Mus musculus: one gene and its partner. The protein of the gene in region 1 interacts with the protein of each later gene in a biochemical or structural test. Links are inferred from orthologs where the notes say so. Each region holds a gene or a part of one and is shown on either strand. Other genes may lie near its edges.

Evidence for each region. The genes of interacting proteins can lie anywhere in the genome.
Region 2: of the proteins of Peli1 (region 1) and Irak4, one has a biochemical effect on the other in vitro, tested with the Homo sapiens proteins (4 studies listed by BioGRID and IntAct). The link is inferred for Mus musculus from reciprocal best matches to the Homo sapiens genes PELI1 and IRAK4.

What each region holds. Positions count from the first base shown.
Region 1 is NC_000077.6:21,088,966-21,095,788, forward strand, and holds the start of Peli1 (E3 ubiquitin-protein ligase pellino homolog 1), read left to right. Parts: upstream 1-2,358; 5' UTR 2,359-2,713; intron 2,714-6,823. UniProt on the Homo sapiens protein: E3 ubiquitin ligase catalyzing the covalent attachment of ubiquitin moieties onto substrate proteins. Involved in the TLR and IL-1 signaling pathways via interaction with the complex containing IRAK kinases and TRAF6.
Region 2 is NC_000081.6:94,540,878-94,547,958, reverse strand, and holds the start of Irak4 (interleukin-1 receptor-associated kinase 4), read right to left. Parts: upstream 4,300-7,081; 5' UTR 4,133-4,299; intron 124-4,132; 5' UTR 117-123; coding exon 1-116. Other genes in the region: Pus7l (pseudouridylate synthase 7 homolog-like protein), read left to right, coding at 6,997-7,081.

The DNA.
Region 1 (6,823 bases):
TCTACCTTCTATGCTATTAGAATCTACTTTCTTATAGATAAATACAAATTATTACTTAATATTTACTATGTTTCATCTGGGATGCTCTTAACTCCCACTGGACAGCCCCCAGGGTTGCACTTTTATGGCTCACTTAACCCATGGTGGCTTCTCCTCCCTCCTCCTGCACTCCTCTCCTCCCTGTCTCCTAGGACTCCAAGCCTGAGAAGCCTAAACTCCACTTATGTCTCTTCTGCCCAGCTATTGGCTGTTGGCATCTTTATTTACTGATCAGAAATAACTTGGGGGTAGGGTCACAAGTCTATGTACAGACTCCAAGTCTTGGGGGCCCACATTTAGCATTACAATAGAGAGCAAGATCAAACCTCAACATTGTTGTTTTTGCCTTAAATTATCTTTAAAATGTTTTTGATGAAGGGGGATCTTACATATTTACAATTTTTGGCATTCAGGCTGTTAGGCTTAAGAGTGAGCACTCAACCCCACTGACCCATCTCATAAGTCCTGTGGTAGTTTTTATATGAATGCGCATTTACCCTGATCAGGGTCCATTAAGCTTCTCAAATATATCTTATCAAAAACTCATGTTTGAATACTGCTTCCAGAAGAAATAAAAAAAAGATGACATTCTTTAGCATATTACCCCCACCCTTCATGGGCTTAGCTGTCTCCTTCATTTTCTTGAAGTTTCCTCATGCCTCTCTCCCCAGTGTGCTTCTGCCACCGCCAGCAAATGTGCCATTAGCCTCTGTGTCCTCGAGCTCCCTGCTCCTTCACTGCTCTCTTCCACCTTTGCCAATAAAATACACAAACGTGGAAGCCGTGAGTCAGCCCACATTCAAATGATCTTTGAAGCACTTCCTGACCCTGCCTGAGTCTGAGGTAGTCTGAATTTTCCTATGACAGCATAGATCACACTGAGTCCATTTATCTGTCTCTTCCTTGGCAGAGAGAGGGGACAATGAATACAAAGTATGTCTCTTTTATATCTTTACAGCTCTATTTTTGAGGCCCAATAAAGTGCCTGGCACATAGTAAATACCTTTACTTGTTTTTTAGTATTTTATTTAAATATCTACATTAAATATTTTAAATACAGGTGTCTTGCCTGCATATATGTCTATGGGCCAATGAGGCCAGAAGATGGTGTTGGATTCCCTGAAGTTACAGGAGGCTGTGAGTGTCCACATTGGTGCTGGAAAAGAAGCCAGGTCCTTTGGAAGCGTGACCAGTGCTCTTAACTGCTGAGCCCTGCTGAGCCATTCTCTGTCTCCCGTGTACTTGTTTCTTAAATTACTTATTTCTTCATTGATCAAATAATTATGTGGTCTGTGGGCATCCAGGGTTTTTGATCCTAAGACTATTTGAAAATCCTTAGTTTCCCATCTTGAAATAGATGTCTGATTCCTTGGCATTAATGTTTTTTCTTCCAGGTTCTAGGTACTCTATTAAGGGAAACTGAGGCAAATTACCTGTAAACCTTCTGGAGAGCCAGTACTGTGTTTTCTCACACCACCATACATGCATACCTGGTCATTTAGAAAGGGTGTAAGACTTAGCTGAGCACAACATACCCATACCATGTTTCAAGGTGCCGTATGTTGTAATTTGATAGTGAGAAACTTGAATCGGCTAATACATACATTGAACAGTTCTGAACTCTCTCTACTTATCTTTTGAATATATATTTATGGAATCTGGATGTTTGAAGAACTATAGATTTTCAGATGAACAAATTGCAGTACAATGATCCAACAATGCTGTTAATGCTGAACTTGGGTTGGAATTAAATGTAACTAACCGAACAAAGAAATTACAGAATTCTGTTAATGGTCACGCTCCCTACAGTTTTATAACCTAATTGTTAAAACACTAAGAACAAGTAGATTTTTAGTACCTTGGGTAATTCTCTTGAAGGAGGCAAAGGAAGGGGGTATTTATGATTTGCAGAAGAAATCTAAACAACCAAGGAGACTGCCATGTCAAGAGGAAGTTAGATTTCACTGGGCACTTGGAAGTGGTTGGGGGTGGGGTGAAGCAGGAGGGACTGGCTGTGGGCAGGAACCCAATGGCACCAAAGACACAAGACCAGCCTTGTTTAGTCAACTACAGTCCAGAACCTTCAGGCTTAGTGAATGGGTGACTATGGCAACAGTCCCCGCCCCAACCCCCTTGCGCGTGCACAGCGCAGAGCCAGCAGTAGGCTCCTCCACAACAGATACTTTTTTTTTTCTCTCTCGGTAAAGAGAACTACAGTTCCCAAGAGCCCTCTCGGCACCGCCTCGCGATGTGGCCCTGCCCCTTACCCTTATGCCCCGCCCTCCCGCTAGTCCCGGTCCCTCCTTCCCAGTGTGTGTCAGTGACCCAAAGGCGGTTCGAGGCGGAGGGACCGTCGGGGGCGCCGCCGCCGCCTTCTCCAGCGCCAGCAACAGCAGCAGCAGCGGCAGCGACAACAGCAGCAGCGGCAGCAGCGGCCGTGCGGCGCCACCGGATCTGCCTGCAGCCCGGGGAGCTCACCACAAAGCGGGCCCGAGCCTCCCTCTCTAGTCCGCGCTCGGCTCTGCGTTCCACTCGGCCTCGCGGGGCTCGGCGGCTGGCGGGAAGGCGGCGGGCTCCGCTGGTGCCTGCGTTCAACCGGTGCTCGCGCCGCCCCCGCGCCCCGGGTGTCCGTGCGGCGGGCCGAGCTGGCGTTCCGGCCACCAGCAGTCGTCCGGTGAGTGCGGCGCGGGCGGCGAACGGGGGCGCGAGGGCCGGCGGCGCGGAACTTCCTCCGAGCCTTTGCCGGTGGCGGCGCGGCGGCCTGCGCGCCCGCCCGCCCGCGGGGAGGCGGCGGGGAGCAGAGTTTGCGGCGCCGCATCCCGCGCGGAGGGAGGAAGCGCCTTTGTGAGGAGCTGCCCGGAACGCCCTCCCCCACGGCTGGAGCGGGTGCGCGGCGGAGGGGAGCCCCAGCTCGGCGGCCCGGTTCTCGCTCCCGCGGCCAGGCTGCAGGCCGGCGAAGTGGAAGGGGAACAAAGGGGCGGTGGGCTTTTCTTTTGTTTGTGTGAATCTGATAACTTCTCAGCTTCCTTACGTAACACAGAATTCCAAGTTAGTCATTCTTTTTATTGTTATGATTATTGTCATCATCTCTGCGTGCCTCTACGTTTCCTTTCATCTTGGGAATCTCAGAGCATTTTAAAAACACTAATTAATTTCACCTCCCGGCCCTTGCCAAGCCCGTTTCCGTACGTGGGTAAACTGAGGTCCAGAAAGCCCTCAAATTGATGGATACGCTTGATGTACCGCGCTGGTGTCTGAGGCTCCGAAAGCGTTTATGAGTAATAACTCATTCTCCAAATGCCCTGTGGAAAAGTTAAAGATGCTCATTTTACTTACAGGTTAAATGAAGTCTGGAAGAAGTCTAGGTAATTGTTAGGTAGTTGAAACAATAATTCTTTTTAAATAGTATTTGAATCTTAAAACCTCAAAGGACTTTCTGAAAAATGTTCCGAGTGGTGAAGATACTGTAAGTCATCAACTCACTTCGCCATATATTATGTTTATATGTGCAGATCTCTTACAAAGTCAGACAACAATGATGAGGGAGGGGATAGTTTTTACTTAACCTACATTTAACATGTTTAGTCACTACTCACAATATGCTCGTTGGTTTTAGCCCCAGCACTCTTCCATCAACAAATATTGAGCATCTCATCCACAGGACGCTTTATTAAACCGAGAATTGAAGCTTTTGTGTATCAAAGGTTGTCTGTTTTGATTCAAAGGCTCTTTACTTTCGGGTAGTAGAGTGTTACTTTGTCTTCGTAGCAGGTGATCTTTTGTGTCAGATAGCACAATGTCTTTTCTCCACATTAACCGAGTTTGCCTAGTCGTGTGAATTTAAAGTTTTTGAATTGTGAACAGGGTGCAGTTCCTCAATTTCTTGTTTCGGTTTATGATGCATTTTCACAGGTAACAACATATTTCCCCAGAGTATTCAAATACACATACTTGAAACATTCTCCTTATTGTCTAAATATAGCATATAATTTCTTTGGGTTTCTTTCTTTCTTTTTTTTTTTTTTTTCACAGTTAACATCTGTAGTAAATACTCTGAGGGCAATTAATCTTTTAAACACTTTTGGTATCAAATGGAAGGTGTGAAAACTTTAAATCAAGTGTTATTTCTACAAGTTCTTTTCCTAAGTTGTATGAGATTTAGAACTGTAATAGCATTATTTTCATTTACACACTTAATTTAATTTTGTAATGCCCCCAGATTTTAAATCTAGTAGGTGTGTCAGAAAACGAAAGTGAGACTTTAGATATTTTTTCTTCTGTTCCCCAACCTATCCCCTTTCTGAAGTTTGTTAAGAGATCTGTTGAGCAATTTGAAAATGGAACACTTAAATGTATAGAAGATTGCTTATATGGTTATAGTGTTTCATCTGATAAATTTAAGGAATCTTAACCACCTAGGTTTTTAGTGTAAACTGGAAACCACCTTAGTTGGAGACTTGGCGGTTATTTGTGTGTTCCTTAAAATTAGCATTTAAGTAACCTTGTATTGACCTTTTCTGATAGTACTTACCAGCCAGCTCTACCAGGACCATTTGTACTTTTAAGGAACCCACTAACAACAGTGCTTTTGTCCTGTCCGATTCCAAGAGTCCAGAGGCAGAAGTTAGTGAAGTCTGGGTTTGCTGCCTTCCTGAGTTCTTTAGGATGCTTTAAAACAAATGGCTGAACATTACAGGGCAGGAAACAGAGCTATTGAGGCAGTTTTCAGAGGGAAGCCTCAGAGGGTTCCTATTTGCCTTAGTTTCTGCTTCTGTTTTACTTGTCAAAATGTCAGTTAAGTCCCTTGATTTAGAATGTGCTCCACTGTGGTTGCCCAGTAGATAGGTGTAAAGGGCTATAGAATTCTGCTTTGTGAACAGTTTTTCTGTTCACAGAGAAATGTAAAGCAGATTGAAAAACCCATTGATAGGCTCAAAAGTAATAGATAAGGCAACTGACAAAGACTTTAGGAAGTATAATATTAAATATTCCTGGAAACATTTATAAATAAGGAACAAAATTCTAGTTGAAGTCCCAGACAATAAATTACACATAGCACGGTCTTTCAATTTATAGATTTGTAGCCGTCTTTCTCAGAGCCCTTCTTCATATGTCATAGAAAAGTCTATATAAGATACTCTTTCAAATGACTCGGGCTGTTCTAGAGTTTCTTACTACACTCTAGAGTTTCTTTTTACACGTCATTGTTAGAGTCTCACCTCTGCTAGGGAAAGCTCACCTAGGCCTACACTAATTTGTAGGATCTTAAAACAAGAAATACAGGTCACTCAGAGATCTGGATATGATTTCAAGTTATCTATTAGTGTTTTCTATGCTGTTTTAATAGATACGTGCTTGGAAATACTGGCTAACATGCTATACTTAGTAAATTCTAAGTCATCTTTGTTCTTGTGCAAGGAATGTGTGCTAAGGAGAAGCATGAGATCTCCTGGGGGGAGTTTACAGGTTTGGTTTGGTTTGGTTTGAGAGGTTGTTTTTGTTTTCAGATCAGATTTTGCCTTGTAGTATTTCCCACCCTAGCCTTGAAATGAAGGTCCTCCTCCCTAGCCTCCCCAGCAGTGCTCCATGCCTGGAAGATTGGAATCTTTTGATGCAGTAGGTAGCCACTTTCAGAAATAATTTAGAGAAAAGGGGCTCCATTGACTGACTGAGGAGAAATGAATTGCACGTGATTCTCAAAACATTTTTCTCCCAAGAATGTTACATGGGATATTTTAGATGATGGAGATCATCAAAGATGATGATGGTGATGATGGTGGTGGTGGTGGTGGTGGTGATTTTGTCACAGTAAATGTCACTTCAGACAGAGTTTTGCGTTTTACTTATTTTCGTGTGTGAGCAAGATACATGTTTGTTACCCACCTACAGAAGCTTTTTCTTACAGATAGATTCCAGAGAACAGTTGTGGGAGTTGGTTCTCCTCTTCCACTGTGTGGGTCTAGGGATTGAATTCAGGTCATCAGGCTTGGCCGAGGCTCGTGTACCTTTACTCTTGTATCTTGTAATATTACACTTCAAAATACCATTTACAGAAGAATAGAATGTTACTAATGCTTAAATGTGAAAGTTCTAATTCAGCACACGTGCTATTTAGTTCCCTTTCAAAGCATTTGTTCTTGCTTTTAGTTTATAATGAACCTCTTGCGATGGGAGTAACTGTAAAAATATGTAGTTTTCCATGATTTTCTACTTTTTTTTTTGCCACAATTTGCTCTATCCCACCCAGCTTTCTAGAATAAGCAAAGAAATATTTAAAGACACTTAAACACTCTTACTTATTATACTAAATGTCAGCTGAATTTCAACATACAAAGTATGGTCAACTCTGTTTTGGAAATAGAAGTATACTTCTGAGGGCATTAAAGCAAGAAATATCAAATAAATACCATGATATGTTCTAAATTCTGATTGCTTAGTAGTGGCTACTGTTACCCTGAGTTTAGAAAACTGGGGTTCTAGGTTTCATTTACTGCTATTAGAATTAGATACCAAAACCAAACTATTTCTTCAGTAAATATTGGGTTTAGGGAAGGGTCTAGTTGTTGACATATCACACTAAGTGCTCACAGTTACCTCACATTCCAATCACAAGAGTCAAACAAGAAAATGAATGAGCACACTGAGTAGTTGCTAGCATCTTTGAGGCCCAGGTTCAAACCCCAGCACCACCACAATTAAAAATTTTAAAGTATTTCACATTTTAAGAGGGAATAACCAGGCATATTTCAAACATATACTGCAAAAAGTAAGAGTAATAAGAAAC
Region 2 (7,081 bases), on another chromosome or scaffold:
ATAGCTACTGCTAATTTCTTCCACCCTTCTTGAGGATCAATAAAATCCGACAGCTTCCTAAGGATCCCCACATTAAGGTTGCGTATGTATGTCGATGGTGTCAACGGCTTGTTCATCTTCTACCTGAAATATGAAAGATTCCTATTACAACTTTACAACAAGTCAGCCGGGTGGTTGTGGCGCATGTCTTTAATGCCAGCACTGGGGAGGCAGGTGGGTCTTTGAGTTGTGAGTTCGAGGCCAGTCTGGTCTACAGAGTGAGTTCCAGGACAGCCAGGGCTACACAGAGAAACCCTGTCTTGAAACAACAAACAAACAAACAACAACAACAACGCTTTTACAACAGTTTCAGAGACAGCATCTAGAAGCTACCCATCATACACTGCTATACTGTATGAGATGCAGCATCCGACCATCTCATCACAGAGCAGCTTTCACTCCGACCCACCTCCTACTGAAAGGCATCTAAGCACCCTCCAGGATTCTCCTTTTCCTCCCCACAAACAGACATTGGAAAACTTTCATCCTGACACTGGGATATTTTTCCAAGTGAAATTTATAAAATGCAACGAGCCTGTTGGAAAGAGACCTGGGAGCGTGTTCAGGAGTCAAATCTATTAAATTAACAAGAGACCTACCTTTGAATTTATTTCTCTCGATCAGTACTCATTTACTATGAAAATGTTTTTAACGGTGTATTTATTTCATTTTATATGTATGAGTATTTTGTATGCATGTGTGTCCGTGCACTGTGTGCCTGTCTGGTGCCTGTAGAGGCAAAGGGGGGCCCCAGATCTTCTGGAGCTAGAGTTTATGATTTTGAGCCACTATGTGGGTGCTGGGAACTGAACCTGGATCCTCTGCTCACTACCAAGAGTGGTTAACCACCGAGGCGTCTCTGGAGCACCTACTAGTAAAGATTTTTACTCAGCAATCTTTGGTAAAAGTAAAAACAAACAAATAAATAAACAACAACAACAACAAAAAAACCCAAGCTAATTTATATAGCATTAAAAGACATGTCCTGCCCACCTACTTTTTATGAAGCATACGAGAAGAACTGGTTTGAGCCTGTGAGACCTGCATGATTTACTGTTAACTGTAAGGCAGTCAGTGGCCTCTCACTGTGGCTACCCCCTTGATAGTACCTTTATTCGCTCGATCCTCCTGGTTCCTGTTATTCCACTCTGGAGAGTTGCAGCTAAGAGTCACCTCCCCGTGCTCCTTGTACTGTGTACTGCCCAGACTGATGGGAACACGCCCTTCCACTGGGCCTCTGGGACCCACTTAACCTTTGACTTCTCTCTCCTGGTCTTAGGTGACCATTTCCCATGTTTATACCTCTCTCGGCACTTTCTCTGTCCCTTAGCCTCAGCAGACAATAATCTTTCCTTCCAACTGTTAATCAAGAGGACTAGACTCGTATTACTCTTTCAATGGTTTCTTTCTATACATTTTCATTTTCTAAAATACAATTAATCTTGGGTACGTGAGTCATATACCCAAATGGCACAGCATATAAAAGCTATAAGGCAGGAAAAAGAATGTTTGCATGCAGGCTTCTATGCTAGGACTCATGTCTCTCTGGCCTTCATTGACTGTCACACCTAAATAGGCTGACTTTCCCCAACCTAATAACCATTCACCACTATACAATGTATTTGTAGTCATGTGATTAGTTGCTTGTTTACCACCCTTCTCTGCCATTAGACTTTAAGCTCCGCAAGTTAAGGACCAAACTCATTTTATTCATTAATGTGACTTATACATTGTAGATACTGGTGTTGTATGGTATGGTTTGGATGTGAAACATCTCCCTAAAGCTCTTCTTTGGAAGGCTTTGTCACTATTATAGTAGTGTTGGGGGCGGAGACGGGGGAGAAGACGTCATGTTTGGATCATGAAGGCTTTCCTGTTATCTACCAATGTATTCATCCATGGATGGAGTCTTAACTTCATGGGGTATTGGGAATCAGTGGTAACTTTAGGAGGTGAGACCCACCTAGATGGAAAGGCTGATTAGGGGTATGCCTTGAAGGATGTGACCCTGTTCTCCCTCTCATCCCTTCTTCCTTCCCTCTTTCTCTCTACCCCTCTCTCCATAGCATGAGGTGAGCAGATTGGTCCCACTGTGTGCTCCCTGCCTCCTAATGCTCCCCTCAAGGCTGTACAGTTATCACCTCCTGACTTATGCTCTGGATCTCTTCTATCTGCTATGCTTTATTGTGGCTCCTGGGATAGATCATCCTTTGAGGCACCCTAAGGTCCCTTCTACATCGCTCATTTTGTCACCTTGAAGCAGTTGAATCAGTGAAACCCTAAGCACTGGAGAGCAGCCTAGATGACTTCGGGGGAAGACCATTGGGCCATCCATCAGCTTGGATGACCTCTGACCTCTGGGGGAGACCAATGGATCATCAGCTGGATGACCTCTGACCTCTTGGGGAGACCAATGGGCCATCCAGCCCAACCCTCTTTACCTTTCTAGACCTTGTTTCCAGGACTCAGAACTAAAGCAGCTGGGCTGACGCCATCTCTGTGTCCGTTAACCTCTCTGTCCCATCAGAGCTCAGAAAAACTTACACGTCAAAGCCGCTTAACACCTTTCGGGACCAGCTCAATTCCTTGGCTGCTACAGTGCTCTGAAAGACTAGACCTGACTGCTAGGGGTGACCTTTGTGCCCTCTCCTCTGTGAACAATGCTTGTGGATTGAGATGGGGCCCAAAGACACAGGGAACAGACCAAAAAAAAAAAAATGCAAAGTAAAACAAACAACAACAATAACAACAAAGTACAAAAAACAAAACAAAAAAAAAAAACAAAAAAACCCCACAAAAACAAAAAGCCCAGCAAGCTTCCTCCTATATAAGAATTTTTGGTTTCTTCCCACTCTGGCCCCTCCCCCTGGTCACTTCTTCCTTATACTTTTACGCAGTCTGAACTTCCCCCATACCCAAACAACCATGTTCTACACTAGCTGTCCCAATGCCTCTCACCCTACAGCAGCCCCGTTTGTTCCTGATGCATCTGCCAAAAGACCTTTGAGATGCCGAGAGATGTCCACAATTTCTAAACACTGACATACTTCAGTGGCCACTAAAACGCTTTGGGTATACTAAAATGTATAATGTCATCCATTCACCAAGACATGTCCTATCTGTGACAGATATTAATCCAGGTGCCTGAAAAATAAAACGTTAGGAAGAATAGGGAGAAAAGGGAGGCAAGAACACAGGGGAGTTTTATTCTAATGATGGAAGAAGGTAGCAAGCTGAGAATGCATTTGGCAGTCTGTTAAACGCTGCCTGCGGTGGTTTGAACAGGAGGGGATTCCATCGTCCCTCATTTGAGTACTTGGTTCCCAGTTGGTGACTTGTCTCAGTTAGGGTTTCCATTGCTGTGAAGAGACACCATGACCAAGGCAATTCTTATAAAGGACAGCATTCAATTGGGGCTGGCTTACAGGCTCAGCGGTTCAGTCCGTTGTTGTCTGCAGTGCAGTCAACAGAAGTCTGTGCTACTGTAGAGTGCGAATTCATCTCCTAAGTTGTTTTGTTTGTTTGTTTTTTGTTTGTTTCTGTTTGAACAGGGAACACAACAAAGACAAGACTGGGAGGCCCAAGTTTGGCCGGAGTGATCAGATCAGTCTTGAAACATGTAGGAAGCAAAAATGTTTAGCATGAAAATAGGAGAATTAAAAAAAAAAACCCTGAGCTCTTTGGCATACATCTTGAAGAATTACTCCCAGAAACGGAAAAATCGATTTTTTTTTTTTTTTAAATTTCCTGCTTTGGGGCCACTGTGTCCATTCCGAAAGCTAATGGTGCTTTCTTGCTCTCTTGGGAATGCTTTTCCTGCCCCTCTCTTGCTTCCAATCTGTCTTGCGCTTACCTCTCCCTCTACCTGTTGGACTGTCTGACTACAGCTAGCTTCCTATGCTCCCCATAGCGAGCAAGCGAGACACTCCGGCGGCAGAGCAGCGCACAGAGGCTGCGGGGCTCCCCAAGCCTCCTCTGCCCGAGTGCGCCCATTTCCTGGTTCTGGAGCGAAGCGACTGATCACCAACCCGGCCCGGGACAGAGGACAGCGGAGAGATCGTGGCTTGAGATCAGCCTTCCTCATACAACCTACTTCCTCTCGGACGTCCCTCGCTTCCTGGACAAGGCGATCGGCGTCCCGCCACGGTCCGGCGAGGACTCGGGGGTGGAGGACGCAGGACCACCAGGCGACTTCAGACTGCCTGCGATCGGGATGCTGCGGGTCACCGGGGCATCATATCCCCCTGTGGGACAGGGAGGGCAGGTCAGCTAAGGGTGAGAGTATAGGGGCGGAGCCAATCCGGAAGGCCACGCCTTTCCCTCCCCGAGCTCCACCCAGGGAAGAGCTACACCAACCGGAGCCTGTCCCTTTAAATGTCCCTGTAAGAGGCTAGGCGGCGGAAAGGCTTCTGGGCATGCGCACTGTGTCACTCGGCGGACCACTTTCTCACGGAAGCGAGGTAGAGCTCACAGAGTCTATTAGGATGCCGGGTCACCGGTGGATCCAAGACTGCTGGACCGGGGAGGGAGGCGTGGTGGCGGCGCCCAGGGAGCGGGGTGGGGTTGGGGTGGGAGTCCCTCTGCAGCCTCGGCTCGCCCCGCGGAGCGGAGGAGGAGCTCTTGCCACCCTCGCCCCCACGTGCCCTGTCTGCCCGCCTCTTGACTAGCTGCTTGACTGCCATGCCTTCGTGCTGCACTGTCCCCACGTGTAGCCTGGAAAGCCGTCCTATGGTCTTTCTTTTCCAACAATCCCTAGGGTTCCGAGGACCCCTGTGGACTTGGTCAGAGCTGACTGCTGATTTCCATCTGCCATTAGAAACAACTCCACGGGGGCAGATGCCAACCTTTGACAGGGTGTTCACTATCTTTCCTTGTCAGCATTACTTCAGCTGTATTCTCCCTATCCCCTCTGCTCTGTGTCAGGGCTTCCCCCTTCCCCCCCCCCCCCCCAGTGCCCGTCTTGATTGTACTTGCACGTGGTATTTCTACCCCGCTTCTGTCTCTTGAACTATTTCCAAAGTCAAGTAGCAGTTTATTATATACCATTCCTGATTATCATAGACAAAAGTTAACACTTCTTTCTTTCTTGTCACCATTAACGCTCTTACTGTGTTCTACTTGTATCTGTTCAACTAGTATCTACTGCAGACCTACTATGTCCTTGGTGCTGTTCTGAATATGGGCTAGTCAGAATTCTGGCTCATGTGGAACTGACACTTTAAGTTGAAGAAGATGGACAGTAAATAATGAACACATTAGCTAGTCATGCTATACAGGAAATTAAATCAGTTTTTTTCTTTGTGTGTGTGTGAAAGAAAAGAAAACAGGTTCCTAAAGCTTATAGATGAATCCTATAGATTAGATTATTGGTGGGTGAAAATGTCTGAGGATGTAGATGATCAATTACTTGTAAAGTCTGGGAAATACAAGAGCTAGGCAGTGAAGCTGCTCTCTCAGGGCTCCGTGTGTCGTGGAGAGAGTAGATTGTGTGAGGACTGTGATTCATTCCCTATAGAATTGGCCTTGGGCCGCTGCTCCAAGAAAACACCATGAGACTTTCTTTTCTTCTATGCCAGTGACTTGGTAGAAATTCCCTTTCATTAGCTTGAGATGTTTGTATCTTTCCTGTAGAGAATTTAGAACAAGATGAGGGACCAGGACTGACTTATCCGACCTTGAAGTGTACAGAGAAGTTCACGTAACTATTTATTATAGACTTTCCTTTCTTATCCTTCTTCGTGATCTAATTTCCAATGTATAAAAACACTACCACAGTCTCTGAAGTTTGCTCCAGGAGATTTTGAGGTTCTGAGGATGACAATCATTGTAACAACAGTCCTATTTTCTTCTCCCTTCTTTGTAGGTCTAATGATACTATTTTTCAGATAAACTTGAAATTGACCCATTTTATGTTTTTGTTTTTTTTTTAACTTTTGTTTGTTTGTTTTTCCAGGACAGGGTTTCTCTGTATAGCCCTGGCTTCTGGCTATCCCCTGGTCTGTAGACCAGGCTGCCCTTGAACTCTGCTTCCTGAGAGATGGAATTAAAGGTGTATATCACACCACCTGGCAAATATAAACATTTTGTCTGTTTTTGAGACGGTTTTTTTTGTTGTTGTTTTTTGTTTTTGTTTGTTTTGTTTTTTTCGAGACAGGGTTTCTTTGTGTAGCCCTGGCTGTCCTGGAACTCACTCTGTAGACCAGGCTGGCCTTGAACTCAGAAATCTGCCTGCCTCTGCCTCCTGAGTGCTGGGATTAAAGGCGTGCGCCACCACGCCCCGGCTTTTGAGACAGGTTTTTGACACAGGATTTCTCTGTGTAGCTGTGCATTTTGTTTCTTTTTGAGACAGTATTTCTATGTGTAGCCATGGCTGTCCTGGAACTTGCTTTGTAGACCAGGCTGGCCTCGAACTCACAAAGATCCACCTGCTTATGCTTCCCAAGGGCTGGCACTAAAAGTGTGCGCCTCCTGACAAGTTTAAACATTTTTAGTAGGCTTATTTATTTTATCATACGTGCTTTGTGTATATGTATCAATGAGCACCATGGGTGTGCCTGGGGGCTGGTGGGTGGTGGAGGTCAGAAAGGGACAATAGATGCCAGGACATGGAGTTAGGGATGCTTGTGAGCTGCCATGTGGGTGCTGGGGAACTGAACTTGTGGTCCTCTGCTAAGGCAACATTTCTCCAACCCCAAATTGACCCATCTTAATTCTGGATAATAGGAGCTTGGAGTGAATGGGAAATCAAGATACAAATTGCTACTTAGGTCACAAAATTGGCCTGTCAACTCTGCTTGCTGTAGGCAAGTCGAACCATAAAATAAGTTAGTGTCTTCTAGGGAGCATAGACTTGAGAGGGAGAGAACTGAGTGGATCTTGGAGACCGCTTTGATTCTTCTTATCTGCAAGCGTTTCTGGTAGCTGAGTGTGCGGTCTCTCTTGTAGGCACCGTGAAGGATGGCAGAGGACACAGATGGTGGCATCAGGTTTAACTCCTTGTGTTTCATCAACGATCACGTGGGCTTTCAGGGCAGCATAAAAA